4 linked regions of the Lonchura striata genome follow. The protein of the gene in region 2 purifies or fractionates together with the protein of the main gene of each other region. This does not show direct contact. Links are inferred from orthologs where the notes say so. Each region holds a gene or a part of one and is shown on either strand. Other genes may lie near its edges. The genes, in order: MAP1B, STK4, ras association domain-containing protein 6 and RASSF3.

Region 1 (7,143 bases), on a different chromosome or scaffold from region 2:
ACAAAGCTGAAATACACTGAATGAATGAGTGCTGAACTTCAAGAAGCTTGAAGAAAAACAATTCCCTGGCCTATGACACCAAGCTTGGGCAGAGAAACTACAATCCTTTCTAGAGGTCAGTTGACATGAACTATGATTTATCAACACTGCTAATGAAAGGACTCATCCACCATCCCTAGCTGCTTTAGATGCGATCCTAATTTGCTGTAGGGATAAGGTGCTGATTAGATGTAGTCAAGATTGCTCAATCATTGCCTGATTGAGCCAGGCAATGTCCAAAATACAGGACTCAACACAAAATAAATAGGGGGAAAAAAAATAGGGGATAAAAGCCTTTATGCCCTATGCACGCAGTAGTCCTAGAAGCTGAAGGTGGAATTTGGGTAGACTATCTAAAATATGCAACTGCATGATTCAGCAATCTGGATGCAAAAATTATGCATGCGTATTATAGCGGAGTAAAATGTATTAAATGAATGATACCACTAAATCAGGTTTTCGGTGGAACAAAGATAAACATGGAACTAAAATCCAAGGTCAATCCAATGATGGCTTAGAAATGTGGACATATCTGCTATAAACATGGCTGAACTGGAGCTATTTCCTTCTTTCTGCAGTCTTAGAAATGCAATGCCACTAGACACAGGACTAATAAGACAGCAGGGAGGGCACACCCAGTAGCATCTGCTAAATCAGTGGAAAAATCTTGAAGCTTCTTCTTCACTCCCCTCTTCTCTTTTGGTGGACTGTGGGTTGTTGGAGAATTGCCCCCTTAGCAAAGTCACATCCAAAATGTAATTACTGAAAATGCGTCTTGCCACACCATTCCCTCCCCATGATATATTAAGAAATGACTCTGCATTCCACCAGGTTGCGTAGCATCACACCACTGATGTGTTATCAGCAGATGTTTTCTTTGACACGTTGCTCTGCAGTTTGGCGCATGAATCCACAGTTTTCAGTGATGGTACTCAGGAGATGTACCAGAGAAGACAGTAAGGCAGAGTTATGGAGAACCAAAATGCATTTAAAGCTCTATTGAGAATAAAGGCAGCAAGAAGTATTTTTTTCCCCAGACTACAGCAGACTTTCCAAAGAGAAAATTATTAGCTGAGCCTGCAATTGCCTCACATAGACAAAGCGTCAGACTCCCACTTTTATTTATCCAGAAAAATGTACCTAAAAATTTCACCAAGGAGTTTTCTTAGGAGGCAAAAATCTCAATCAAATGGTCTAATACTAGAAGCATCAAGGTCACTTCTAATCCAAAATGATTAATTAAAAGGTCAAACACTCCCTCTGAACACCTAAACCTGTAAGTGGGTGTTATGCTTAGTGGCAGGAGATAGCAGTAATTGAGCTATGCAGCAGTGACTGTACAATAGGAGATTCAAGAAGGGACTGGAGAGCATTTCTTCAGAGGGAGGATATTAGTTGTCTTGAGGGAGTAAATTTTACCAATTTGCTTTATAATCTTTGACAATTTAATTAAAATGCAGCCTGTTCTTTTCTGACACAACTGAAAATTAGATAGAGTTAAGGAAGTGCGATGCTGAAGAAGCTCTGAATGACAAAGCACCTGCCTCAGTAGCTCTCCCCAAGAGACAATGGTAGCAATAAAGATAGAACAGTTTATGATGGAAATAGTTAGCTGAGATGAGGATGCCTTTTACCTCAAACTGTAATGAAAAGGAATCCAGAGAAATAAGCAACTAAAGCAACAATGGTTGAGAAAGCAACAATAGAGAGACACAGATGAAGTCCTAGCTGGACTGCTGAACCACACCTACATGACAAGGCTGCTACCAATTCCTCGTTCCGGGATCTCTTCTTCACTCTTAACAATGGCAGTTCCATAAATCTTTGTTTTCACCAGCCCAGAACAAAAAATACATATTATAAAATCAGCTATCAACTGAGTTTAAGTAACTGTAAGGTCCGGCAATAATTTTCTTCATGCTTTATTCCACTGATACCGTTTATTTTTTTTTTTTTTTTGTTTTTGTTTTTGTTTTTTTTTTCTCCTCTCTGCATATACACTGAAATCTATTGTATCAAAAACCACAACGAAAACTTATAAAACTGTCATTTCATTTGCAATACCACGCTGCATCGCCGTCTTAAGAAAAGGACAAATAAACGCCGAGTCAGAGGAGCCCGCAGTCGGACAATAACGAGGCTGAGCCCTCGGGTAACAGCCTTGTTACTCATAAAGGTTTTCTTTATTGGAATATATACGCGTATATAGAACTTAGGTCCTGAAAAATTGTCCAGACGACAGAAAAGTCCCAGCACCCAAAGTTAGACACAAAGGCGCGGCTGCGCTCCCGCCCGCGCAGCCTCTGCTGCCGAGAGGGAAAACGCCCCGAACCCGCGGGCTTAGCGCGGCGGTGGGGGACGGGGAACTGCGGGCGGCAGCCGCCTCGCAGCCCCAGCCCAGCCCATCCACCCCATCCCCAGCCGCCCTTTGTCCGCCCCGAGCAGCCACCGGGACCGCAGTGCGGACCGTGCCACGCCCACCCCGGTGTCTCCGGGCAGACGGGCTCGGCGGCGGGCGCTGCGCTGCCGCCGGCCCCTCCGCCCAGCGATGGCGGGGACGGGGCTCGCTGCGGCTTTCCGCAGCGCCCGCACCCCGCGGCGGAGCATGGGTGGGTGGGCGATTGCGGCGGGACCCCCGGGGAATAAAGAGCCGAAGACGGCGGCTAGGCGGGATGATGTCGGGGGCTATCCCGGCTCCCGGCCGCGCCCAGGGAGGGGCAGGGCGCCGGCGGGGGTGTCGCGGCGCTGCTTGCGGCACCCCGGCTCCCGCCGCCTCACCTCGCTCGATATTGGTGATGGCCCGCCGCAGGTGCTCCTCGGTCACCAGCTCGCCGATGACCACCAGCAGGTAGAACTTGCTGTCTAGGAAGCGGTGGGAGAGACTGGGCGAGGTGGAGGTCGGGTTGGGGATGCTGCAGGAGGGCTCCGAGTCCACTTCCACCACTACGGTGGCCATCGCCTCCGCCCCGCGGCTCCGGGGCGCTGAGCTCGGCGGCGGCTCCGCGGGCGGCAAGGAGGGAGTGAGGGCGGGTGGGGAGGCGGCGGCGCTTTTATACGGAGACGGTGCAGGGCAGGGACCTGGTGAGGAGGAGGAGGAGGAAGGGGGGGAGCCGGCGCATCCTCCGCGCCGCCGCCGCCTTTCCAGCATCCACGGCTGATGTCATCTGCGGCAAATCCTCCCCGCGGCGGCCCCCGGAAGCAGGAAGGACGCGGGGGGCGAACAACGCCCCGAGGGGACGCCAAGGACTGCGCCCCGCGCCTGGCTCCCGGCCCGGCCGTGCGACCCCCGAGCCCACTCCCCTCTTGTCCCTTGCTCCCCGTGCCCGTTCGGGCCGTCACCCCGAGGCCCGTCCCTTAAAACAGGGCGATGAGGAGCCGCAGGTGATGGCCTGGCAGACCTGCGGGGCTCATGTGGCAAAGCCAGCATCGCGCCTCCTGCAGCGGTCCAGAACCGGATGAAAAAGCAGTGCCACTGCCCAAAGCCAGTTGTCCTCTCCTACGTCTTGCTGTACTACTGCCGCAAAATTTGAGTCATACTGAAACACACCCTCACCCAGCAATCTAAATATTCTTGCTAACTTTTTAAATTTAAAAGCAGTTAATTTGATAAGATACTTCACACATAGTTCTTCTGCACATATTCAATGCCCACGGATATATGACACCAGAAAAACACTAGTTTTGGACAACATGCTGAAGCCCGTAGTCTTAGCTTATTCAAAACTGCAGAAATTCAAGAGCTTTAATAAGTAATGTTGACCAGGCTCAAGCATCTCCATGGGGCAATGATAGCAGAAAACTTATACAATGACAGAACCAAAGGCTTAATTTCTTTTCTCATAGATATTAGTATCTACATCCCAATACTCAGTGATAGCAACCTCTGAAAAGTATGTTACTTGCTCCTAATGATGGAGAAGTCAAATCTGTCTGGGATGTTCCTCTCACTTTACTGACATAGCCAAGCCACTCGTTTACACTTAAGCCTCTTGTTTATATGGTTCAAGTGATGTGGGATAAATTTCACTGTGACATAGGAAAGGATATAAACTTTTATAGCTTTTTTTTTAAGATAACCTCTTGTCCCTGACTGAGAAGACACCTCCTCTGTCTGCAGCTTCTTACAGTGCTGGATGTGCAGATTCTCTGCCTACTGCTTAGGAGCACAGTGCTTGCCTGGATGAACGAGTATATCAGCCTCATCTTCTCTGTATTTTGTTCCAGGGCACAGTGGACTAATTCACATGCATTTCAGGTTGTCACTACTAAGTTTTTTCTGTCTTACTAGCTTAGAGGCTACAGTTTCAACCCACAAAGGTTAGAACAGGATCATTATAAGTGCTGGTCCATAGTGTCTATAGCACCTAATGGTTTTGATATGAACACTTCCTCTGCATAAATACAGCACTCAGAGTCTTGGCTTACACAGTGTGGTGTGTTTGGATGTTGCATCCAAAGTAGACTTTTCCTGAGCTGCCGTTATTCTAAAGGTTGTGGAGTGCAGACAAGCATTTTCACAGCCATGTCAGGCGGCTGAGATGACACAGTGGTAAAGAGCAGCAGTGCTCATTCTTCACTGAAGCTGACACTGCTGATAGAACAAATGCAATAGTGTAGGTGCAGAAGAACTAGCAGCACTTTTAAGGTTTGCAAGGTATTCAAAGGTGCAGTGTGTTCCTCGTGGAATACCCCTGCTAATCTGGGCCCCACTGTGACTTTGCTGTTTCCTGTCATAGGATGGTGTAGATGCCTACTTAGAAATAATATCTATCCCCTATAGCCTTTTCCTATATGAACCCCTTCCTAATAATTTATTATAATTATAGTTACCTTCAAGACTTGCCATGTGGTACCCACTGGAGAATGCCAGCTTCAGGCTTCTGTCACTGCAGTCTGTAGTTTTGGGCATGCCTTTATGTCAATCACCAGCAAGAATAGCTAGTCTCTCAAGCATGGATGGAGCTCGCCAAGGGGTCTTGTCAACTGGTTGCAGAACAGACAGATGCTGGTTCCTGGACATAAAGGTAAAATAGTTACTTGCCTCACAAGTACAGCAGGTTAAATGTGATAGAGAAATGCACACCAGTACTCAAAAGACACTGTATACACTTTTAAGCACTTTCTTATTTTAAGTAAAAATGGAAACATCCATAGCTGGAAAGATGCCAGTGAGTTTGAAAAGCAAGAGCCAAAAAGAATGCATTTTACCAGAGAATAAAATGCTTACATACAGGTAGGTGATACAGTTACATATGAAATAGGCTGCTCAGGTAGTCCTCTATTTCACATTGCAGTGTAAAATAACATGCAGTTAGAAAGTGGTATGATAAAAGATGAACTGTTACAGTCAAACTGTCTTGTGATGGGTGATGCATCACCCATTAAAGCCCTAAGGGCAAAAGATTGTCTTTGGAAAGAAATGGTCTTGTGGTAAACTCTTCAAAGGATGCCGACCTCTGGCTTTGTCTATTCATAAGCTTATGCTGCCTCATCAGAGATGGAAGCTAGACAAGAAAGGTGCTTTATGCTCTGGAACATATCTCTGAGGAAGCTGCAGGGTCCCAGCTCCATAGCCACTTTTCCACACTGTGTCTTGCCCTGTCAGTATCTCAATCAGGTAGATTAGTTCGTCATCATCTGGAAACTAATTTATATTCTGCAACATGGAGCATCAGGTCCACTGCTGAGTGAAATGTGGAGATATGCTGCACAAAGCTGACTTAGTGTCCTGTGACACTAATCACTGTCTGAGAGTGATACCACCTGCCTATCTGCAGCTAAATTACATAGATATGCCCCTTCAGTAGAAGAAACTGCACCATTCATGGACTGTGGGATATATCTTACTGTTTCAAAGAGACAGTGATTGAGATCTGCACCTGTCTGGCTTTTGATCTTCTTGGTTTGATTTTGTTGTTTTATTATGTTCAATACCAAATTGGAGTCCCACAGCTGAATGTGGTCAAATAGTATTTGCAAAGCTGTATTTTTTCAATGCTGTATTTTTAAAAGACACAGTTTAAATAAAGTGCTTGAAGTTTAAAACATGCTTCTTGGTAGTATGTGCCATTTGTTACCCACTAATATTCAAGTTTCATTCAGGTCCAAATTTCAAATTTTAGATGATGTTTCAGTGATGTACAAACCTTTAGACTGGCCCTTTGTCTCAGGTCAAGTGTCATCCCTACCATAAAAGAAATACGTATCCATATGGATTGCTTCAGATCACTTGACATACTGAGTGGGGAACAAGAGGTTGGTGAGCAGCACCGTGGAGGTGGACCTGGGGTTGCATTTGAGTCAGGCAGCCAGGAGGGCCAGCCGTGTCCTGGGGGCATCAGGCACAGCATGGCCAGATGGACAAGGGAGGGGATTGTCCTGCTCTGCCCTGCCCTGGGGCGGCCTCACCTCAAGTGCTGGGGGCAGTTCTGGGTGCCACAGTAAAAGTGAGATACAAAACTATTGGAGAGCATCCAAAGGAGGGCCATGAGGATGATGAAGATCCTTGAGGGGAGCTGCTTATAGGGAGCAGCTGAAGTCACTTGGTCTGTTCAGCCTGGAGAAGACTGGGGAGATCTCAGTGCAGTTACAGCTTCCTCATGATGGGGGACAGACACTGATCTCTGTGGTGACCAGTGACAAGACCCAAGGGAATTGCATGAAGTTGTGTTAGGGAAGGTTTAGGCTGGGTATTCAAAAAAGTTTCTTCACCCAGAGGGTGGCTGGGTACTGGAACAGGCTCCCCAGGGAAATGGTCACAGCACCAGCCTGACAGAGTTCAAGAAGTGTTCGGACAATGCACTCAGGCACATGGTGTATTCCTGGGGTGACCTGTGAAGGGCCAGGATGTGGGCTTCAATGATCCTCATGGATCCCTTCCAACTCAGGATATGCTGTGATTTTTTGAATTTAAGATCTTTACAGAAACTGAAGTGTCTTCATTGAGAGAAATGCCAGTCTGAGGATTGCACAGTATGTCATGAAGGGCGTTCTTCACATCTGTAGGATTTCTTAAGGAAGGACTAACTTCTAGAGATGGAGAATTTCCAGCCTAGGCCTGGGATGACAGTTTCACAGAATGGCTGGTTGGAAGGGGCCTCTGAA
Region 2 (7,770 bases):
GGCTAGCTTTTTCTTATTATCTGATCTTATTATTCTGTATTATGAGTTGGATTAGGTCCAGCATTGCCCGGCATCTTACTAGCTGAGGCAGAGTGCAAGGCTGAGCAATGGTTGGAAACCATGATGCAGTGCTGTGCTCTCCTTGGCATGCCTTTCCCAGCCCCAATGTCCCTGGAGCTGTAGGCTTTCTGGTTCTTTGAACTCTAATTTTAATGGCAACTATGAGCTGTGGTCACTGTCTGAAAGAGCAAGGCCCCTGTACAGTGCCTAAAATCCTCTGGGAAAGAGAGGAGACAGTATGAAATGATTAATCAAGCGTTCCCCTTCCCCTGTTCCATCCATCACAAAAAACACAGTCCTAGAATGAAAATAAACATGGCTTTAATGAGAATAGGTTTTAACAGTTCACAAAGTAATTCCAAGTATCTTTTTATCTACTATTTAAAATCAGTGCCAACAATATCAGACCAGGGGAAATTTAAACATGCATTGAAGTAGTAAGCCAGACCTCAGCTGGGGTGTTACTGCATATTTTCCTCCCTGTAACACCCCACAGCAACTGCTCCAAAAGGCACAGAGCTAAAGTGGTTTAAAAAAAGGAAAAAAAAAAAAAAACAGGACAAAACAAACCATTGCAAAATTCCCAAGCACCCAGAATCTGAAAGAACAGTGCACAGTGTAACAAGGCAGGCTTAACTTGCTGCTGTTTTCTTAAATGTGCAGAATAATTAAAGAAAGCTGCTACTGTAAACATCTGCCCAGCCACACTAAGCAGCAGAACCCAGCTGAGGGCCAGCAGGCATGAAGGGGGAGAGGGAACAAGCTTGGCCCTGTGCAAGTAACTGAGCCCCTGTCACATGAAGGGTATGTAGAGCTCTGGCAACTACAGTAGCTCTTGCAGCGACTTTTTCAGTAATAGCAGCACAAATGCAGCAAAACTGTCACCTGAATAAGGACTAAAACCCCTCTGTAGCTCTTCAGACAGGAACAGCCACTTCTGTGCATCTTAGCCAACATGTAAAGAGTCCCTGAGGCCAATAGTTAGAGGCAAGTTGACTTCAACCAGGAAAATTAACCTAAGTGCCTCTTGGGGAGGGGCATTAAAACTGTGCATGATCATAGAGCCAGCTGAATAGAGTTTGATGCAGATTATGTCTTAACAATCACTGTGCTGGTACAGAACCTCTTAGATCTCAGCAGCACTGGAAGAGAGATTTAACACCAATCCCGCATCGACTGGTCCCTGTATCAACAGCAGAAGGGAGAAAGCTTTTCTCTGCAGTGGAAAAGAAAGCTTTCCTTGTTGCTTGGTTACCCTAGGCTCTGTTCAGTTCTTGCAGTAATCTCAGTGCAGCTGTGTTCTTTGGTTCAGTTTTCAACAAGCTCTTGATGTCGGCAATACTTGATTTATAATCCTAGAAAGAGAATATTTTTTAAGGGGTAGTGCATTAAAAAGGCAGTCTAAGGCAGAACTACTACCCAGCAACAGAGGCAAAGACAGCACAGTTAAGCCTGTGCCTCCCTCCCTGTAACTGCTCAGCACTGGCATTGATGTAGCTGTTCTAAAACATGTTCAAACTAGGGCTGAGAAGATAATTTCATCACTCAAGTGCCTTCTGAGTCCAACACCAATGCAATAGGTACTCCAGTACTGACTCCAGCATTCCTCATGAGACAAGAAGATAAAAGCCCAGCACAACACTGGTCTCTGGTCACTGGTCCCTCTCCAGGGACAGGATCTGTGGGCAGAGCCTGAAGATGTGTCAGGGGAGGTTTGGGTATTAGGAAACGGTTCTTCACCCAGAGGATGGGTGGGCAGTGGAACAGGCTCCGCAGGGATGTGGTCACGGTCCCAAGCCTGACAGAGCCCAAGAAGTGTTTGCACAACTCTCGGGCCCAGGGTGTCATTGCTGGGGCTGGTGCTGTGCAGGGTGGGGAGCTGGACTCGAGGGTTCCTGTGGGCCCTTTCCAACTCAGCATTGTCTGTGATTCTCTGAAAAGCAGTTGCCTTCAGCATCTCTAAAACTGGACCTAATTCTGACAAGTTCATGAGATTCAAACAGCAAAGTCTGACTCTCAGTCCTTAAAGGTCTGATGGCAGAGGTTGCCTAACACAGAAACAAACCCTGAAGGGTATCCCTGGCTCTGATCATGCATCAACAGCCATCTAGTCCTAGCCTAAAGCCCTTCAGAAACTCCTGACTTACCTTCAGTTCTTTAAGTGCTTGAGCACGCCTGTATAGTGCCTTGACATTCTTAGGATCCAACTTCAGAGCTTCAGTGCAGTCCTGTGCTGCTTCCTTGTATTGCTTCAGGGTCAGGAAACAGAGAGCTCTGCAACACACACACCTGCTCAGAGACCTTTGGCTGAAAGCAGCATCCACTGCCACAACACACAGAGCAGCTGCCAGTGCAGCACAAAGCTGGGCTCCAAAACCATCCTCGTGTCTTATGCCATCTTAATCTTGAGCTCAGGTTTGTTTCATTTACAGGGAGGAAGAAAAGGAAATGGTTTTTGCAAAGAAATAAAAAGGAAGATGTTTAGAGCAACCTGCCCTAAAGCCAAAGAACCTGCACTTGCACTTTGAGGATGCAGGTTCCTGCCTCTGCCAGTGCAGCCCCTGCTCTGCTTGCTGCAACTGCCTTAGAAGCACTTTGAGTGTTTAAGAACAACAGTCTGCAGTTTGAGGTTTGTAAGAGAGCAGAGACCACTCAACATACTTGAGTCCTGTCAGACAAAGCAGTCAAGGGAGAAATCCCCTGGCAGCCCACAGGGGAGTGTCTCCAAGGGGTTCTGTACTACCTAATCAAAGAATGTATATTACAGGGGAGGCTGCACTTGGGATGAACCTGAGGGGGTAGTTTTGTTTTATTCATTAGTTTGGGAGCAAATATTAAACAGTTCTGCTAGGAAGTACCATGGTGGCTTTTATCTAGGGCCAAGAAATAGTTGGGCAAAGAGCTGAACAGTACCTGTTGGTGTAAGTTGCACATTCCTTGTTGAGCTCTAAACTCTCACTATACTTCTCAACTGCTTTTTTATGGTTTCCTTTCTTTACAAATTCATTTCCTTCTTCCTTAAGCATTCTAGCTCTCTCCATGTCAGCAGCAGTCTTGTCTGGAAATGGTGTGAAAGGATACACAACTCTATAAAACCAACAAGAATATCAAACATCACAGAAAACAAATATCCCCATGCCAGAGGCAAAACACAGAGACATCAAAGAAACCAGAATCAACTGAAAAGGCTCTGGCAGAACCAGGCTTGGGTTTCTCCAGGTCTCAGCCCAGGCTGCAAACACACCAAGCAGGTGTGGCAGCTGTCTTGTTCATCACCCTTGGGAGCTACAGGGCTCTCTGCCCAGCCCCAGGGCTCGTTCCCACCTCGTTCTCCCCGTGGTGCAGTTGCAGGAGGAGTGTTTGCCCCAGGGGCCTGGGCAGCAGGAATGCTCCACCTCGTCTGGGCAGAAACAGGCACTGTGGGGATTGGTGGGAGCTTCTGACGCCAGTTCATGCCATCCTTCTCCAGCAGGGCTTTAGTCATCCTGGAAGAGACAGCTGCCAGTCACCCTGGCTGTTGGCTGGCTGGGCCACGCAGTAGCCAGCCACATCACTTTTAACCTGGCTTGTGTATTTAAGAACAGCATCTGTCTGCTGATTTCTTTACATGCATCTCAGCTAGGTTTATTCTACAGACAGGACATTTGCAAAAAGATTATCTTCACACCAGCAGGGCTAAAAATACAACAGGACATGGGCTGGGGCTGTGACTGCTCAGGTGAGCAAGAGACATGCATTTCACTCCTTGGTCTGGCAAGCAGAGAGCACCAGAAAGAGAACAGGACTATAGCAGCCTGTAAACACAGCAAACATAGAGATGCTTAAAGGATAGGGTATGAACGTCAGTTCATTATTTCCTTTAAACCAGGCACTGGTCAAAGCAAAAACAGTCCCACAGCAATCATTCCCAGACCTCGACCTGAAAGGAGCTATAGGTACCAGCAGGCAGAGAGGGAGCATAGCCAGGCAGCAGGAACGAGCACGGATGGAGCAGCAGCACCCAGCTGCCGTACTCCCGAGCCTTTGGCTGCTCCCTCTGGTCACCGGGCAGCGCTCCTTACCTGTTGACTCCATCGTGTGCCGCCTGGACGGAGCAGTCCACCTGCAGCGCCGTCTTGTAGTCCACATAGGCCAGCGAGTACCTCTCCATCGCCTCGTACGCCGCTGCCCGCCGCAGGAGGGGCTTGATGCCGAACGGGACGAGCTGGAGGGCGCTGCGGCGGAGGGCAGAGCGCCCGCGGCGCCGTCAGCCGGCACGCCCGGGGCCGCCGCTGCTCCGCCCGCCCCGGCCGAGCGGGGAAGCGGCCGAGCGCTCCCTCCGGCTCCCTCCGGCCCCAACGCCGCTCACCTGGTGCAGTCGGCCACGCAGAGGCTGCAGGCACCGTCCTTGAGGTGGCAGGCGGCGCGGTTGGCCAGCAGCACGCTGCGCTCCTCGGCGCCGGCATCCCCTGCGCGGGGCACACGCCGTTCAGGCGGGGTTCGGAGGGCTGCCCCCGCCCGCCCGCCCCGACCCTACCTGCGGCTTCCAGCTGCGCCAGCGCCCGGGAGTACAGCTCGGCGGCCGGGCCGTACTGCCCGCGGCGGAACTCCTCGTTGCCGGCCCGGCGCAGCGCACCGGGGGACGCGGCCATCGCGCCGCCGCCGCGCCCGCGAAGCCGCGCCCCGCCCGCCGCAGCCGGGGCGGGCGCTCCCCGCCGGCATCCGGCGGCGGGCGGAAGCGGCGGAGCGGTGCCATGGAGCGGTGAGGGGCAGACCCGGCTCACCGACACGCCGCCATGGAGACGGTGCAGCTGCGGAACCCGCGCCGGTAAGCGCGGGGCGTGTCCCTGCCGGGACCGGGGATGCGCCGGCCCGGGTCACCCCCGCGGGGGCCGGGAGCGGGGCTGCGGGCGCGCCGGGCTCCGGCCCCCTCGGTCCTCCGGAGCCGCGGGGCCGGGGCAGCAGCCCGTGGCACCGGGCAGGTCGGTGCTGGGCAGCACCGGGAGCCCTGGGGAGGAGGCGCTGCCCGCGCTGCTGCGGGAGCTCCGCGGCCGTACGCGGTGTGCTGGCCCGTGCCACAGCGCTGACAAAGCCCCGTCACTTCTCCCCTCGCGTCTCTCCTTGGCTGAATTTCGTGCGGGTCTGTGCCCCCGGTGCCGTGTCCGGGCGCGGTGCCCGGCCCGGGCACACCGGGCACACCGAGCCCGACCCTCGGCGTTTCGGGGCGAAAGGAAGCCGTGGGTCGCCTGTCTCGGGCTGCCGGGCCGGGGCCGCGGGGCAGAGCTGGGGACCGGCGGCAGCTTGAGTGAAGTGTCAGTGTCAGAATCCTATCAGAGGCTCGCAGCTGGGCCCGGGGAGCGCTTCGGCAGCGAACAAAGGAAGCTGCTGGCGCTGGTCCCCAGTGGCACTGGCCCCCTTGGTTAAACAGTGATGTATGTGCTGTTAAAAAACAAAACAACCTTCGTTTTATTCTGGAATTGCTTATGCCGGTGTTTACAGGGCAGGTGATTAAGATTAGATCTGAATAATAACAGAGGTGAGATTGGGTTTGTGTTGCTGTTGCACCTGTAAAGCATCCAGGAGAACGGCAGAGTGTGTCAGGCAGCAGCTAGTGCACTCGATGGAGCAGGACAATGCAAAGTAATTGGGCTCTGGTCTGCAGTAGAAATTAGGCTGCTTGCTGCAAGCCCAGTAGTTTTCTGGTTGTTGTGTTTGGTATATGAAAAGTTGGTTTTTTTTCTTTCTTTATACTTGTAGAATTTAGGCCTCAAATAAGAAGGGTCTGCCTCTTGCGTCACCACATTTTGGGCTCCTTGGAAATGGTGGCTTGTGTGTTTTCTGGTGCATGTATTACTTGCTTTTCCCCTTTTCCCACACCTTCTTCCCTCTCTATTTTCACAGGGACAAGTAAATTCTGGTTAATGCTTATCTGAGCAGGGAAGCTAGCAGCTACTTTCAGTATTTCACCACTTCCTGAGTCTGCTTCTATATAATGTTTCCTCTGCTTCAGGAAGCCATTGTATGTGCTCCATGCGTGAGCTGCTCCTCCCATGTGGCTTTTGTGCATAAATATAATAGCCAAGGATCAATCAATGGTTTTTCGTTCTATTTCTGAAGAAATTGGGTAAAAAAAGTTATATATTTAGTATAAAAATTAATATTCCTGTAACTGGAGTCCTGATCTTTAGCAGCAGCTGTTAAGAGCTTTCAGGAGTAATTCGCAGTTGCAGGCAACCGCGTGTGTTTTACTTTAAACACCAGTCAGTGCTAAAAACTCTGAGACTCAAAATTTTAAGTTTCTGTGTTTAAAAAACTTGAATGAGATGGTTTCGGGAGTTTGGAGGGGGTTTTATTGGCTATTTTTTGGTTTTGTTTATTGTTGTTTCAGATTTTTTTTAGTTCATGTGAAAATGAAAGAGCACTTGTTTGTGGGCTGTTGGATACTCTTACCACTGACAATAAAATACTGTTTTCAGACTTTTTGGTTATGTAGTCCTTAGCTGTTTCAGGAGGTTTGATGAACAGCTCTCCAGCGTAGACTCAAACAAATATGATTGAGCTTCTTATTGCTTTATGCACGGAATCTCCCTAAAAGGTGTACTAGGGGAAGGGGGCCCACGTGAAGAATCACAGCACATGGCAGGTTTTTATTCCTAGAAATTATTTTAGCTGACTCTTATTAGCAATACTGTAGGAAGGATGGCATTAAGATCCTGAGAGTCATATACAGTTTCCTTTTTCCTGATAGAATCTTCCTAGTAAGTGTCCAGGCCTATGAAGTTAATATCTGAAGTTTTGATGATAAAAATGTACAGGTGAGAGTAGTATTGCTTCCTGCCTCCCAACAAATGTATTCCACACGTACTCTAATCATCAAGGAAGATGATGTTCCCTTTTTTTTGGTAGCTATCCTTCCATTCCAGTATTGATATTCTGCAGATATGTTCAATGGCTTCAAGACTGTGCCATGCTGAGATGTGACCACCAGCATATAGATCCTGAAACTGATTTCTGCCAAGAGGAGCTGTAGATTTGTGTGCCTGCTCACACTCTGTGCTTTGTAATTCCCAGTCCTTTTTGCCTATTGGGTGCTAATAATATCCAGTCTCCTCATCAGGTGAAATACTGGGAAAATCAGGTGAAATATAGGGAAATACTTCATAATCAATTTACTTCATGCCAAACCTTTTGGATGTTTAAGTGGTGCTATTTATTCTTCTGTTTCAGCAGAGCCCAATCTGCCATAAAATTAAATGTAATAATTTCTCTCTTTTTACCCATACAGGCAGCTGAAGAAGTTAGACGAAGACAGTTTAACCAAACAACCTGAAGAAGTATTTGATGTCCTGGAGAAGCTTGGAGAAGGGTATGTGTTGTGTTCCAGTGGGCTCAGTATGCATTTTTCTAGGAAAATGCATCTGTAATGGAGGTGTGTTCAGCAGACTCTGATGTTTCACTTTTGTCATAGTCCTGTTTCTGAAAGGTAGTTACTGACATAGTGGCATTGTTTGGTTAATAACAGAATAAAGAATTTGTTTCCCAAGAATGCAATAGCTTAATCCAAATATCAGGTTATCGGTCAGTAGTAGGGAGTTTAAAAGTTTGTGAAATATCCCAGCCAGGAGTTGGCAGAGCTCTCTGGGAATTTGAGAGATTTTGTGGTTCATCCCTGGTACATCTTGAGGGAGATCTTCCTGGTGGAGTGAACTTGTGACACTGTGCCCTTTGGTG
Region 3 (6,929 bases), on a different chromosome or scaffold from region 2:
GCAGCTGCCTGTGTCAGTGCAATTTCAAGCCATTTTTACAAGATGCAGAGGAGTTTATGTACTTTGGCACCTGAATAAATGAATGTACACTTGGGCTTCCTCCCACCTGTCAGGAAACAACACGTTAAGAGCAGTGAATAGCCAAGTCACCTCTACCAACTGTAGAGTAGTGACACCAGCAAGCTCCAGCACTGCTTCACTGCTTGTGGATGCACTCTTTTCTACACTATTTGGCCTTAAAATGATTCATCTGAAAGAAAAAGCTGATCTCTGCCCATGGAGAGAAGTGACCTTTACACACACACAAAAGAGATGAACACTCTTTCCATATGCAGCAGGTGGCTCCTAGTAAATTATTTGCCTTAAACACCTTGAACGGATTTTCAATCAGCTGGGTGCCATTAAAGTGCTGAAAATAAAGTGAATTGGAAGAGTGGGTGGTGATGGGGATAATTCTTCACCGACACCTTTCTCTTTCTCTCCATCATGGCTGCAACACCCAGGAAAAAGCCTTCTCTCCTATGGCTGGGGGAGAAGCACAGCTCTCACTATGTTCTCCTCAGTTATGTGATCTGCTGTGCTTATCAGCCTTGTACCAAACACTTCCACACCACCAGCTCACTCCAGAGATGAACCTCTTCTCCCTGGACCCTTCCCATGGGCACACTGTAGCTTATTTTTAGCCAAGGCCCAAACCTGTGGGTTGCCACCATGCAGCGACTTCCCCAACACCAGAACCTGACACAACAGATGCCAGGATGTTTGTACTGGCACTCCCTAAATCCACAAAGCTGTTAGATTTCCCATCACCTCCTGCAATCTTGCTGCTTTCCATGCCACTTCCCTGTAGTCCTTTTGAGGAAGCAAGCAAAAGTTAAATGCTTTCTCCACTGCTCCCTTTGATTTGAACTAACCAAACCATGCTAATTTTCCAGCCACTCCAACCATATCTGCCTGTGTCATTTATTCAAAGCCATCTCCTGTTTTACTTGGTATCACACAGGTGTTTTTACCATTATGTTAAACTGGACTAGAAGGGCAGAATTTCCTCAGATAGGTTACACCTGGAAAGTGGGAGCTTGGTTGGACTAAACTGCTGGCCTGAGATTTGCTTGGAGGAATACTGACTGAAGCCTGAAATACATCATGAGGGAAAGCAAAGGGAAAGTCAGGAGGAAATGAAAACTGGGAGAGCTGAAAACTGAGCATTTCTAGAGGAGGACTGCAACTATTGGAGTAGTCTAGGAAAAGCAAAGGGAAAACAGACCAGTGCACATTTCAAAACTGCAAGAGCATCAACACGTCAGGGCACAAGACAAATTTCACAAAGGTAATGAGCTGTACTTGTCTGTAAGATTCATATCTTACCCGAAATGTGTTTTTTTCCCCAAAGAAAATGTCCAAGTGTCCGTGCAGAAGCAGATAGGAGGACTTGCTCCTTTTATTCAGTATAGTGCTATTTAAGTCACTTACTTAAGGGGACAGACCAGGGACAGTAGAGTGCAGGAATGACAGAGCAGAAGTTAAGAGCAAATGGCTAAACCGATTTTTAGAGAAGGACAGGCGGCTGCAGAGGAGGACTGGAAGGAGAGGGACACCTGGGATGCAGAGCTGAGCCAAGCAGGAACAGCAAGGCAGCACCTCAGCTCCTGGAACAGCCTGGATGTGCTTTCTGGTGCATCCATCTATGGAGACAGGGCCTGCAGAGTGCAGTGCACTACGCAGAGCTTTTGCCAGTGCTAGAGAAACCAAAACCCCAAACCTCAGCAAAGAGCCCTAGGTATTTTAACCCAGCACTCCCCAAAGCTCTTCCCAACCCACAGAAAGTCAGGATAGGGTAAAACTCTGAAACTCTTCCATTTCTTTTACAGAAAGCACAAGGCTCAGCTTCCTGTTAACTCAGCTATCAACTACACACACGGGGTAATTTATACATAGGCACAACATCATGTCCAGCTGAGTCATCTTCTAAACTCACAAGTGCCTGGTATTCAGCAAATTGTTCGATCCTGATTGGTTGCTATAAAGATGAATTTAAGATTTGTTCAGATAGATAAACTCAGTATCAGCACAATAATTTTACTAGTCACATACTCTAATTACGGGACTTCACGTTCCCCTTTTTTGTAATTTTTGTTTAAGTTAGATGTCCTTACCACCATAGAAAAAGGCGGTAATTAAAACAAAGTACTTACTTTGAACAAATGTCTTTTCCCCACTAAAAAAAAGGGCTTTGTTTTTTTTCTTGAGCTTTCAGATTTCTTCACACCTTATTTTAATAATTAGCTGCTCAGTACAGAGCATTAAGAGCACTCCTTGAGTACAAATCACAGCACAAGCCCTCTGCTCAGGCAGGCTCGGAATGGGATTTGAAGGAAACAGCAGTAAATTGGATTATGTGAATACGGCCCCTTAACTTTCCCAGGCACAAGGCAGGAGGCGCGGACCCGCTCCCTCCCCTCGGGCGTCGCTAGAGCGGGGCTCGCACACATCCCTTCCAAACTCTGCTACCCCGTTTTAGGAGAAGTGACTTTCTGCTCGCAGCCCACCGGCACAAGCCCTTCCTAGCCGCCGAAAAGAGCGCACAAGGTCGCCGATGTCGCTGCCGAATCTCCGCCGCACCGAACGCAGGGCGCGACCTGCGACCGCCCGCCCCACCTCAGCCGGCTCTCCCCAAGCCTTGAGGAACTTCTGCCGAGCATTTCTCCTTCCCCCCGCAGGGAATGACCCCAGAGAGTGTGCCTGGAGTTCCGGGCGGCTGCGAGGGACCTGGCTTCCCCCGACAGAGCAGCGCACACAGCGAGAGGCCAGCCCCGGCCGTCCTTGGCTCACCTGGCCGGGCGGTGCGAGCAGGAGGAGCGCGGCAGGAGTTTCACACGCCTTCCCCCGAGCCCCCAGAAAGGCATGGCAGCACGGCCAGGGCGCACCGCCACCTCCGCTGCCGCTCCCCGGGACCCACCGAGCTGCTCATTCCTACTTGGCTTAACGAACCGGGAAGGCTGGGAGGCCACAGGACACTCCCCGCAGCTCGGTGCACGTCGGGAATATTTACCTATCCCACTTTGCTTACTCCAAGCGCGGACAGGAGCCCGCCCTTAGCCGCGGTTCCACCTCCAGGAGGCTCCGGTTAACGCTTTAATCGCTCGCTTGAGCAAGGGAGGCAACCTGCCGACTCCCCGGAATCAGCTGGTAACTCGCCAGAAACATCCTGTGCCCAAAGCACTTTAACCTCTTCTGCTTCCTAATCCATTGGATAAAGTATGCTTTCCCTCAGATACATGCCCATCTTCGGTGTTTGGGGGAATAAGTGGCACAATCCATCAGATCGTTACACAGATTTAGAACATTCTGACAAATAGTGACCGCACAGCTTGATCCCTTAACCCCACACAGTTATTTTTGCTGACCTGTGTAATGCCCTTATGAATATTACTGGGCAAAAGCTGCATCTGTAAGAAGGAAAGCATGGCCTCTTACTTTATTTGCTCAGCAGTAAATTGCATAAGCAGATGCTTAAGCTAGAAAAAAGAACTGAACCAGGACACACCTTCACCATTCCTACGTTTGCCCATCTATTTCCAGCAAATAATTTATTCACCAGATCAAGCCCAAAACAAGAAGTTATTGGGCCACAGAGAAGCGCAGGAAAAATGCTGAACCTGAATTTGCCTTCACACCCATCTTATTCCACTGATTCATATCAAGTTCCTTTTGCTTTATATAATTTGATGTTAGGGAGAGGCAGAACAGACTCAAATACTCAAATGTTTGATTCCTGATCACATACTATCCTGTGGTATCCTTCTCTCCAGAGACGGACACGCTGCCAAACACACGCCACAGCAAGCCTGGTGTTTGGGATTAAAGTTTGTATTGCAGTTTCTTTCTTTGCACCTTGAAAAAAATCCTTCACACAAGGATTTAATTGGTATTTACAACATGGAGAGCCACTCAAAACAGGAGGGAAGCAACATGCAAGGTTTTTTTACTCAGTTCATAAGAGCATCGCAGCTCTGTGCTGGGACTCAGAGCTTCGTGCCAAGCTCAGTCTCTGGAGCTGCTCCATCTCAAGTGGGACAGTTGAGCACAAACCCACACAGCTTCCCAGCTGCTGGAAAACCAGAGGTTTGATTTTTCCTGTCCTGGCTTCAGATATTTGAGCACGCTGCCTGGCGCTCTGGGATCAGAGAACTGGAGCAGACAGCAATAGCAGCCTGACTCCTTCGAGTCTCTAACCCAGGGTAATGTCAAATATCTGTCTTTGACAAGTCTGTCACCCTGCTGGACACTCACACCATGAAGCTGTTTGGTACCAGGAGGTACTCAAGTATTTTTATGACTGAAGACAACACTATTAGCTTGCAACAGCAAAATGTGATGTTAACCCTTCCCCAGCAAGGATAAATCAGACTTTATCCTGACCCCAAATTTTTCAACTTAAAAAACAAACAAAACCTCAGATTTCTAGGGATAGCTTTTTACTTTTTCCTTTTTTTTTTTTTCCTTAAAGCTTATAACCAAGTTTTGAAAGCCCAATGTTTCAAGTACTTAGATTCATGCAAAGATGTCTCAGTAAGAAATTATTACCATAAAGCAAAGAAATTTCTAATTGTAATAAAAACCTACAGTTCCCATTTTCATAAAAGCAGATGTGTTGGTCCTTACCTTGGCCTGGGCAACGTGGCTCTGGTTTGTTTCCAGTTCTCTCTCTCACCCTTGAACTCTTCCTACCAATGGGCAAGTTTTGACCTCATCTGAGTCACAGAAAATTACCTGCTGAGTAATTGGGAAGGACTGGTCAGTGCAGGCTGGGAACAGGTATGGGGAGGGGAATCAGGTCCTCAGGGTCACAGAGCAGAAACTACTTTTACTGTCAACTCCAAGAAACAGAAGGCTTTGATCCCTTTCATAGAAATTAAATAATCAATGCACAGAGACAATTATTTTTTTGTCTTTCATAATCAGCATAGTTTGCATGGCCTGGAAACCTATGAACAAGTCACAACTTGGTAATACTGTTTTACCTCCTGAGTGAAAGGGTAACAATAATTTCTTTAGAACAGGCAGGAAATGTGATGATCCTGGAGTCTTTACAAACTGTGTTACATTTCTGCTCCTTGCATTATTAATAACTAAGTAATTTTAGGTTAATAAGTAATTGGAAATTGGAGTTAAGCTACTTCATAACTTGGCCTCAAACCATTAACAAACACACTGCTAAAGATAGGAGAGAACCTCTAAGAGGAAAAACAGAGATTCCTGTTCTATTTTTGTAGTAGACAATCAAAATAAGCAGGCTGCCATGGCAGCATCACACACACACTTCAGTGGAAGGACTTTGATAAACACAAAATATTCCTTTGTTTCACAGTAAGAAGGAAAATCCCTAATCCTGTTTGCAAACACTTATTTCTAGACAACTCATTAACTTCAAGCACAAAAAATTCTTCCGGGATTTTCTGAGCTAGCTACTCTAATGCAAAAGGAGAGCCTCATCTGAAAAGACCTGAATTTAACTCAAAAACCCCCCTGTGATCAATTCTTCCATTCTCATTACAAATGGTACCAGAGTGGCGGCATGATCATAGGAACAAATCAAGAAATTAAAACCTGAATTTAGGCTGCAGAGGGCCTCTCACTCCTTAGCAAGATTATTTTCTGTCATCACAACCAAGTGCCAACAGCAGTACATGTTCTGGAGCCACAACTGATAAGCACAGAAACTAGAAACTGGGTAACAGATACTAGCTCAGATATTAAAATACATCAGAAAAATGAAACACACACAAAGGCTTATGCACTGTCATAGGCCAGAATCCTTCACACACACCATTTGGTGGGTCCATGAGTTTTAAAGGAACAGAAAAGAAGCAGAGCTGAAGTTGGCAGCAGCCCATGTACTAAAGTTTTAAATATCACATCAAGAACTGGAACTTACCAAATGCTGACCTTTGCCTACCTGGAAAGCAGCTTGCAGGTCTCTGTTATTATCCCCATGAGCCACTGCTGGATGGGCAGGTCTGACCCAAGCATCTGAAACACCTTTAGTCATGCCTCGTGGCTGTCATTGCCTGTGCACACCCATGAAATCATCCATTTAATATTACAGGACTTCACAGAGGTACATGAGGATTTTTTACTGCCTGGAGCTACAAAATATCAAAGAGGACAGAACCAGAGGGGACTTCCCTGTGGCAAAGAGCTACAGTAATACAGCTTGTCACTCCCACTAGTGCTCAGGCAGGAGTCAAATCACTGCCTCATCACACCCAGCCGCCTTGCACAGCCCTTAAAAACTGTAACTTGGTCACACTCAAGATTTTCAGATGTGCATTTTTCTTAAATCCACAAAACATAATTTCTCCTTTTTTTTTTTTTTCCCCTGTAGGTCATGGTATATATCTGGATTATTCTGTCTTTAAGATACAAAACCCTTGGTCTGCCTTACTTTTGACAGCTGCTATCAAGACCCTCCCAATCCCACACAACAGCCTGACACCAATGCATTACAGGATCCTTTTATGCTCCATCACCCCTCTGAAATGACCAGTTGAGGGCATGAGACTGCATTGTCTGACTCTCTTTTCCCATTTGCAAGTAGTTTTCTTCAATCTTCTCTTAAGGCAGGTGAGTCATCATGTGGACTGTCTCCTATTTTCTATTTCATTTAAAAATGTCTCTCCAGAACTCCCCTCAATGGAACAGTCACTTCCTAGAGTTCTGAGAAAAATTCAGATTCCCAAACCGAAATTGTTATCATCGTTCCTGGAAGGGCAGACTTGCCTGCTACAGCTGGGACATCCTTCCAAAGTGTCATTTTTTTCTCATTTAGAAGAGGTATAAATATGCATTTTCAATTTGAAAGGTGTTACACATCAAAGCTTCTGTACAAGAAGGACAGTTTGTCCCTGCAGCAAAACACGCTGAAA
Region 4 (7,694 bases), on a different chromosome or scaffold from region 2:
ACTGAAGAATGCTCACAAATTTTCTTCCTTCTTTTAGAGCTTTGCAAGGAGCACATTAGCTGTAGGCCAAAGTCTGTGGCCACTAATCCCAAAGTGCCCATCCAAGGACAGGCTGAAAAGCTAAACATTTTTAGGAACAGCAACCTAATCATGCTTTGACAGCTCTTTCTAAAATTATGTCAAATGCACCTTTCTGAACACAGTGACCTACAACAATACTAAATTCATTGTTATACTTAAAAAATAATTTTGTGCTTCAGCAGATTTTGTTTCTGGGTCAAGCAGAGAGGACAAGGCATCTTGAGACATGGAGTGATAGAAGCAGAACAAAAGCAGCAAGTCTGAGGGTACTATGCAGAGGCACAGTGCCCATCTCTTGGTTTACATGATGAATGAGATCACCCAAAATCTAAGAGATAGCAGAGAACATAATCTCTGACCTTCCTAACATGTCTAAATAACGAAATTTTCTATTTTGTTGTTGTTAAAATGTTACTTTATTATTAAAGCACATGTGGCTAAAAATTATCGGTAAGTATTACTGAAAGCTTTAATTGCCAGCTAGTTATTAATCCATGGGGCAAGCCTAGCGACACAGAATTGTTCTACTGGGTCATCCTGGGTCCTAGCTCATCCTGAATGAAAAATTCTGTAAGTGCCAGTCCTGGAGTAAAACCTACCAGGAAAAGACAGCAAAAAGTTGTTGGATTCTAGGAAGCAAGGGTAAATCTCTGTGTACCAAGGGATGGTAGTCAATTCTGATCAGGGCAGATGGTCAATACTGCTCAGGGTAGATTGTCAGTACTTCTCAGCGTAGGCTTTTGAGTTGAATAACTCTCTCAGAAGGACAGAAGGGCACCTTGGTAAAGAATTACCAAATTGTGATGTTTCAGAGTCGAGGAAGCTGAGGAAATGGGTAATTTTGTAATTCACCAAAAACTAAAGGGAAATTCTGGACACTGAAGAAAAATGCAGAAATGTTTGTGGACGTCAGGGTAGCTAAGGTTTAACTAACAAGTGTAACTTACTGTCTTTGTACAGACTAAAGAGAAATCAGGAGCTGTGTCTCCTCCCCTGTGAGAGGAGCATCAGGACTTCAGCTTCCAGTTTATAAGAATGGGTTCTGTAAACTTACAAGAAATTTGAGTTGAATTTTAACACTGAGATTTTTTCTGCTTGGACTCAACCTTCCACTGAATTGACACATTTCCATCAAACCCACAATTTTGTGACAAATATCTCATTGCACTGGTAGCAAAGGACTTCTAGGGCACTTCAGACATATTCACAAATTCAGTTCTAAAGAGGTGCTAAAGCATACACTAAAAATGATCGTAAAAAGATACATTTTATTCAAACCACCAGATGTAGAGGGAGAAGGAAGGCAACCCACAAAAAAGCATTATTTTTAAAGCACTCAGAGTTCACCTCTTTTCTTGTTACAAGTCACAGATACAATTATTTTTTTGCAATACTGGGGTAAAAGATAACTGGCATGCAAACATTTTCACACATGTGTAACCCAGCTAGCAATTAAAGCTCTCCATAGAAGTTATTGATAGTTTTTACTATCAATAATTAATAAAGGAGATGCAGGAATGATCTGATGTGTTAGGAGGACTCAGGATGATTTGCATGTATTAGGAGGACCTGAGATTACCAGTATTCCAAGAAAGGTTCAAAACTCTAGATTCATCAAGGAAAGTTTCATACAGACTTCAATGTCCTGAGATTTCCTTGTGAATATTTGAAATCTGTGGATTCCTTTGGGAAGAAGTCATGTGTCATTTAGGTCCTAACACCCTTACTGTGACAGATTTCAGATGGCACATCCCCTTTCAAGAGTCACAGATCTGTTGTCTCAAGTACAACACTAAGCTGCTCAGCTGTGGAACTGACCCAAAGTCTGTGCCATGCAAATACAAACTTGTTATTAATGTTGCAGAATTGACAAGTTCACCATTCTGTTCCAAAGAGTCCCAGTCAAAAGAAATCTGACCTTGTACCATTAGTCCCTTAAGAAGAACATAAAGAACTTGGCTTCCCCCACTATGGCAGTGCACATTCTTCCAACCCCCTGAGAACATGCCTCAGCCCCAGCCTTCACAGACCGTGCTAAAGGGACAAAACGGTATTTGGGCTGTAAGGGCGTTTATGAGAATGTTAATCTGAGAGATGCAAACAGTTTTCTGCCAGGCTTGGACAATGATCAGAACACTGAGATGCTGTGAGGAACAATGCCTTTAATAACTGGTCAGCTGAGCTGTACTGCATTTCAGCTGATAAAATGGAAGAGCAGGCAAGTGCATCACTGCTGAGCATAAGCCCCTCTAAGCTGCCCATCACTTTGTGTGAACACTGGTACAATGAGTTAAAGTCTTTAGTCAGTTCAGTCTTTGCACAGCCTTCTAGATCAATGAACAGCTCAAGGCAATTCTAAATAACTTTCAGGCAATTATTTGAGTCATATCAGAGCTCCTATATACATACCTAAGGGAGAAACATGGCAAAAACAAGATACCAAATATCAGTGATGTGAATAAATTATGCAGCTGCAAAAGAACTCTTTGCCAGAACAAGCCTGATGAACCTTCTATTGCTTTACCAGAATATTTTGACAGTTTTGCCTAATGACCCTCCAAGAATGAAAAAATGCAAACAATTCTGGCCTGGAAAAATTAACCAGTTCAAAGAAAACAGATTTTTTTTTTTCCCCTCTTTTTTTGTTTTTTGTTTGTTTGTTTGTTTTGTTGTTTTTGTTTTGTTTCGTTTAGCAGGAAAAAATCTGGGGAAAAATAGCAGCAGACTTACCCGGAGATTTCCAGAGAAGTTTTACCGTCCTTCTCCTCGAACTGCTCAATGATTTAGGAAACCAGTAAAAGAAACGTGCTATCCTCCTGATGGTTTTGTTCAGATCATTTCTCACTGCCATGGCTGAAAGGGCTCCACTGCTACCCCAGGAACAAGAGGCACATGTATCCAGAGGAGAGAGGAGAGCCCACGAACACCCACAGTGAGTGCGCTGGCTCTGAGCTCAGCGTCAGCCAGCACGTCTCAGGACCACCTGTTAGTCCTAAATCCCCACCCTCTCCGTCACTCCGCTCAGAGCCCTCCAGACCTCCCTCTTTATTACAAGAAGCAGCTATTTTAATAGATGCTTCAGCTAAAGAAAGACCAATGCTCTGGAGTCTTAACCTGTTACTGTGTTTCCAATGATGTTAAGACATGTTTTCTGCAGGAAAGGCTTTGAAGGGCTCCTTTTTTCATCTGTAGCTACCTTTTCCAGGCTGAAAACAAATAAACATCAAAACTGATAGTGACAAGTAGTCTTTCAAAATCCCTTAATGTAAATCAATATATTTCCTCTGTAAAGAGAGTCTCTCAAAGACTTTCTTCTGAGCAGCAGAAGGTTCTGAGCAGCAAATTTAACAGAGATTTCTATGGATACACACATTGTTCAAAATGAGACTTTCCTCTTAACGGAGTTTAAGGCAAATGTAAGAGTCAAATCATTCACTGACACAATTTACTTAAAAATTGAGCATCTATTAATATATCACTATACAAAGAAATTAACAGTATCTCAATACATAGCCTACACCTGCTTCAATCATAGTGCATATTAAATTGTAAATCCAGAGATGCTATTTACTGCAATGCCCCCTGCAAAATTTACCACAACTTCTAAAATACACTTTTAAACAGTAAGACTATGTAACAATTTCCCAAGGATGGTATGATTTCCTTGACTATGTGTCCAGCTTCTCACATTTGATTTTATTTTTTTTTTCTTCTTCTAGATCTGAATGGCAGAAATCCCTGGAAAATCAAGACTAATGTCATTACAAAACAAAGGTCCTTTTGTATCAACCTTTAAACTACAGAAAGTAAGGGTTTTGTTACACCAGCTATGTTCACAGCATACAGTTAATAAATCTTCCAGAATTCACAGTGTATTTTTCTACACTAAAATATGTGAAGTATTTAACTCCATTTTTTACATCTGACTTTCTAAACATACTGCTGCTAGTCAGGACTGAGCTACTGGTTTCTGATTGCATTTCCTGTTGTCAGTATGTCTCTAAAAACAAATAAACATTTCTATTTATACTGTATCTGTCACAATTCTTTAGCCAGTGTCAATGAAAAGAACAGAAGGCAGGACACAGACCACTGGATTTTGTCTCATTTGAGCTCCACCCTGTCATACCAGAAGGAATTTAGTAGCAAAGTGACAGTTTTAGCAAAGCAGGAGGTCTGTCACCCAATTCAGAACAAGAAAGGAGCAGAGTTAAAGGCCTGACAGATAGATTGCTTTTCTTAGGAAATAGGAGTCTGAGTGTGTACTGGCATCTGTGAAATACAAGATCAAACAATGACTTCTTTTTTTTCTGAAATTTTTACATATAAAATTGAATGAAAATCAAAGTAGCATAAAAAACCCTGAACAATTTCACACCCTAAGTAAATATGTAATAAATTGCCTAGTTTTGCGATTTGTCAAAGAATATATATATATATCTCCTTTAGCAGGATATGAAGGGGACAGGAATATTTTTTTCACTTAACAGAAAATGCTGATATAGTATCTTTATACTGGAATTTTATGAGGCTTTAAAATTTACCCAGTTGGAACAACGTAAGGGGATAAATTGACTTTGTTGATGATGGTAACAAACCTGTGGATGTTTATACCTGACAATATTTAGTGAAACAAAAATAGGCAAGAACATAAAACACTGTGTATTACTTTAAAGCAAACGGATCTTACTTTATCCAAAGACTTCACTGGGATGAATCTGGCAATTATACTGTGCAACAAACCACGTAATACAGATGAGAACACAGACCTGAATTCAAATTAAACTGAACAGCAGTGGTAGTTGCAATATAGTAATTTCACAACTTCTACATCACTTTACATTTTTAGGCCATAGTTAGGCCAAAATACAAAGCTAATGAACAGCCTGCCTCCCACAGCTCAGGGATCGGGGTGTGTGATGGTGACGGGAGTTCCTCTCAACCTGAACTGCTAGCTTTAGAATATGAGCCACTGTGCTGTGCACAGGAATGCACTGCTCTCAGCTGGACTCAGGAAAGTCCACAGAGCTCCTCCTAAGACAACTCTGATTCCTCACATTACACTGATGTATTATTAAGGTTAAGAATTCACTGTATTAGAAAGGTACTACACAGGGCTGCATATGTACCTTTCAATCTACTCTGACAGAGAGACAGCACAGAGATACTTTCCAAGGAGGACAAAAGGACCTGAAATGTGAGCAGACTCAGACTCTTGATCACTGCCTCTGTTTCAGGAAAAAAGCCACGTAAGGCTTTTTCCTACAACAGACTTCAACCCCCAGGTCACACTCTGCTCATCTGGAGGAGGGGAGGGAATGACTGCTGCCTTCATTGCTGTCCCACCTGCCTGGGAAGGAAGGTGAGCAGCTGTCCCCTCTGCTATGCAAGCAGCCTCTGACCTCCTACCTCCCCACAGCAGTGCAGAGGTCAGAGCCCAGCGGGCCCCTGTGCAGGGCAGAAATGCCCACAGAGCCTCCGTCTGTGTGGTGCCTGGGGTGCGTGGCAGGTCACCACCTAGTCAGGAGAGCTGGGTTCACCACACTGCCCAGCTGTGTCTGCCTCCCAACCCACTTTCTGCATGGCAACCTGTGCCCAACAGCTGGAAAACAAAGGGGTGCTCATGAAACATCCATCAGTTTAGACATGTCCCTGTCTACCCTGACCTACAGAGCTCAACAGACCAGCTCTAAGCAGAGGGGGATACACGGTGACCTGGTGCCTGCCTTACTGCAGCCCTTCCATACTCACTGACAGAGCTGAAAGAACTAAAAATACCCCAAACTAACCTTCATTGCTACAATAAAACACTCTTAAATGAACTGTAAACAACCAGCAGTGCTTTACTGGAAATATTCTCTTGGGGTCTGATGAGTTCATGTATTTTAAAAGCAAATTCTCTGCTAACAAGCATTTTTTAGAGCAACACAGGAGTGCTGAGATACCATAAAAATGAAGTCTGATAATCAGGAGGAGCACACACAGTGGTGCTAGATGTGAGGCAGATGCAGAAGTCTCTGCTCTGGAGCAGAAGAGCATTTTTCCTCAGTGAGGATTTACTGCCATTTCCACTCCCCCCAGCTCTTAGGCAGCAAATTGCTGGGATGAGTAAAGGATTTCATTTGCTTTGACTTCAACTGGAACTTCTCCATTTAGTCTGGTTTCAGGAACAAAGATCCCCACACACCTGTTCACAATAAGAACTATGTGTAGGAAAAGCTGAGAGTATTAAGCAGTATCTGCTTGTCTACATTGGCAAATATCCCTATTATCTAGGCTCAAAATGAGGTTTTGGTTTCTTTGCAGGCAATAATATACTTGGAAAACAAGGCAGTGTCTTTCCAACCTGTCCCAATGTGGATTATATGTCACTATGCTATATGCTACACATGCAGGCACAGTTCAGTATGGAGAAGTCAAGCCTCCACAAGGATATTTCCCATATTGATGGACCTTGAATTAAATTCTGTTCAGCTGTAAATTTTTATCCAACCATCAAAAAAAGGGCCCTGTCTAACTAGTCACTGGGATTCAGCAATACCACGACACAGCATCACTGATTTCATAACAAAACATAATTTATAACATCATGATGTGTGACAAGGCTATGCGGTTGCTAGGAAATTAATAAAGAACACAACTAATGAAAGAAAAGAAACAAAGACATGCTGCATTTGACTTTAAAACAGTTGAAACTAGCACAATACTTCCAATTTCCAGCTCAGCTGCTCATCCCTCCCAAATCCGAATAAGCAGCTATATTTGTGAGCTTTCTAAAAAAACTTTTAATTCTCAGCAGCTGCATGTACACAAAAAGAAAGGACTAAAAATTAAACAGTGATTGGCAATCTGCAACTTCCAAAACCTTGCCTCCTTTTGAAAGGTAGTAATTGAAGAACTGTAGTATTCAAACTGATGTGAAATACATCTGTTATCAGATTTAATGATCTATTAATTACTCTTTTTGGAGAATAATTTGATTTCTCCCCTTAAGATGTAAGGAGTAAGAAGCTTTCTTCTTAGCAATAGCTCCAATGAAACACATCCTGGATTTTGAGGAAGAAAATCACTGTTCCAAAGCACATTAGGTCAAATTTGATTAGCTCTTGTTTAATTCAACAATATATTACTCTGTAAATAAATGTCTTCCTGCATTGTTACATGGAAAAGAATGTCTCTCTGTGTATTTCAGCAATATTTATTCTTGATACTTTTCACTATCATCCATTGTACTGTACAGTCATTCCCTGTTTTATTTCAAATACTTCAATCAGTGAAATTTGTTCTAATTTGCTTTATGTTTTTTTCCAGAGGCAGGTAGGACCAGTACTGTGATGGAAGTGTGTGAGGGAGGGCATTGCTGTTGCTGTGCTGGTGCAGCTGAGCATCAGGAAGGTAATGCACTATTTCCTGGAGACTGCTGCTGGTACAATGTGCTGCTCTTGCTCCTCTTTACCGTGGTTTGGTTACAGGTTTACTGCATGTCTGAAGGTTTGTGCTTCAAAACTAAAGCTGAATAAAAGATTATAAAGCCAGATGAAGAGAACAATAGTGTAATGTGAAAATAACAGATTTGTGTTAATTTTAGCTTTGCATTAGATATTATATTAGTA

Evidence for each region.
Region 1: the proteins of STK4 (region 2) and MAP1B purify together in Homo sapiens (affinity purification with mass spectrometry; 5 studies listed by BioGRID and IntAct, with this or other methods). This does not show direct contact. The link is inferred for Lonchura striata from reciprocal best matches to the Homo sapiens genes STK4 and MAP1B.
Region 3: the proteins of STK4 (region 2) and ras association domain-containing protein 6 purify together in Homo sapiens (affinity purification with mass spectrometry; 5 studies listed by BioGRID and IntAct, counting the BioPlex papers as one, with this or other methods). This does not show direct contact. The link is inferred for Lonchura striata from reciprocal best matches to the Homo sapiens genes STK4 and RASSF6.
Region 4: the proteins of STK4 (region 2) and RASSF3 purify together in Homo sapiens (affinity purification with mass spectrometry; 5 studies listed by BioGRID and IntAct, with this or other methods). This does not show direct contact. The link is inferred for Lonchura striata from reciprocal best matches to the Homo sapiens genes STK4 and RASSF3.

Annotation. Positions count from the first base shown.
Region 1 is NC_134642.1:15,334,157-15,341,299, forward strand, and holds the start of MAP1B (microtubule-associated protein 1B), read right to left. Parts: upstream 3,011-7,143; 5' UTR 2,996-3,010; coding exon 2,818-2,995; intron 1-2,817. UniProt on the Homo sapiens protein: Facilitates tyrosination of alpha-tubulin in neuronal microtubules. Phosphorylated MAP1B is required for proper microtubule dynamics and plays a role in the cytoskeletal changes that accompany neuronal differentiation and neurite extension.
Region 2 is NC_134619.1:9,279,927-9,287,696, forward strand, and holds the start of STK4 (serine/threonine-protein kinase 4), read left to right. Parts: upstream 1-4,756; 5' UTR 4,757-4,835; coding exon 4,836-4,867; intron 4,868-7,324; coding exon 7,325-7,405; intron 7,406-7,770. Other genes in the region: TOMM34 (mitochondrial import receptor subunit TOM34), read right to left, coding at 1,317-1,415, 2,208-2,334, 2,974-3,118, 3,385-3,545, 4,122-4,274, 4,409-4,508, 4,577-4,691. UniProt on the Homo sapiens protein: Stress-activated, pro-apoptotic kinase which, following caspase-cleavage, enters the nucleus and induces chromatin condensation followed by internucleosomal DNA fragmentation.
Region 3 is NC_134606.1:73,241,680-73,248,608, reverse strand, and holds the start of ras association domain-containing protein 6, read right to left. Parts: upstream 3,011-6,929; 5' UTR 2,833-3,010; intron 1-2,832.
Region 4 is NC_134607.1:42,828,629-42,836,322, reverse strand, and holds the start of RASSF3 (ras association domain-containing protein 3), read right to left. Parts: upstream 3,005-7,694; 5' UTR 2,933-3,004; coding exon 2,812-2,932; intron 1-2,811.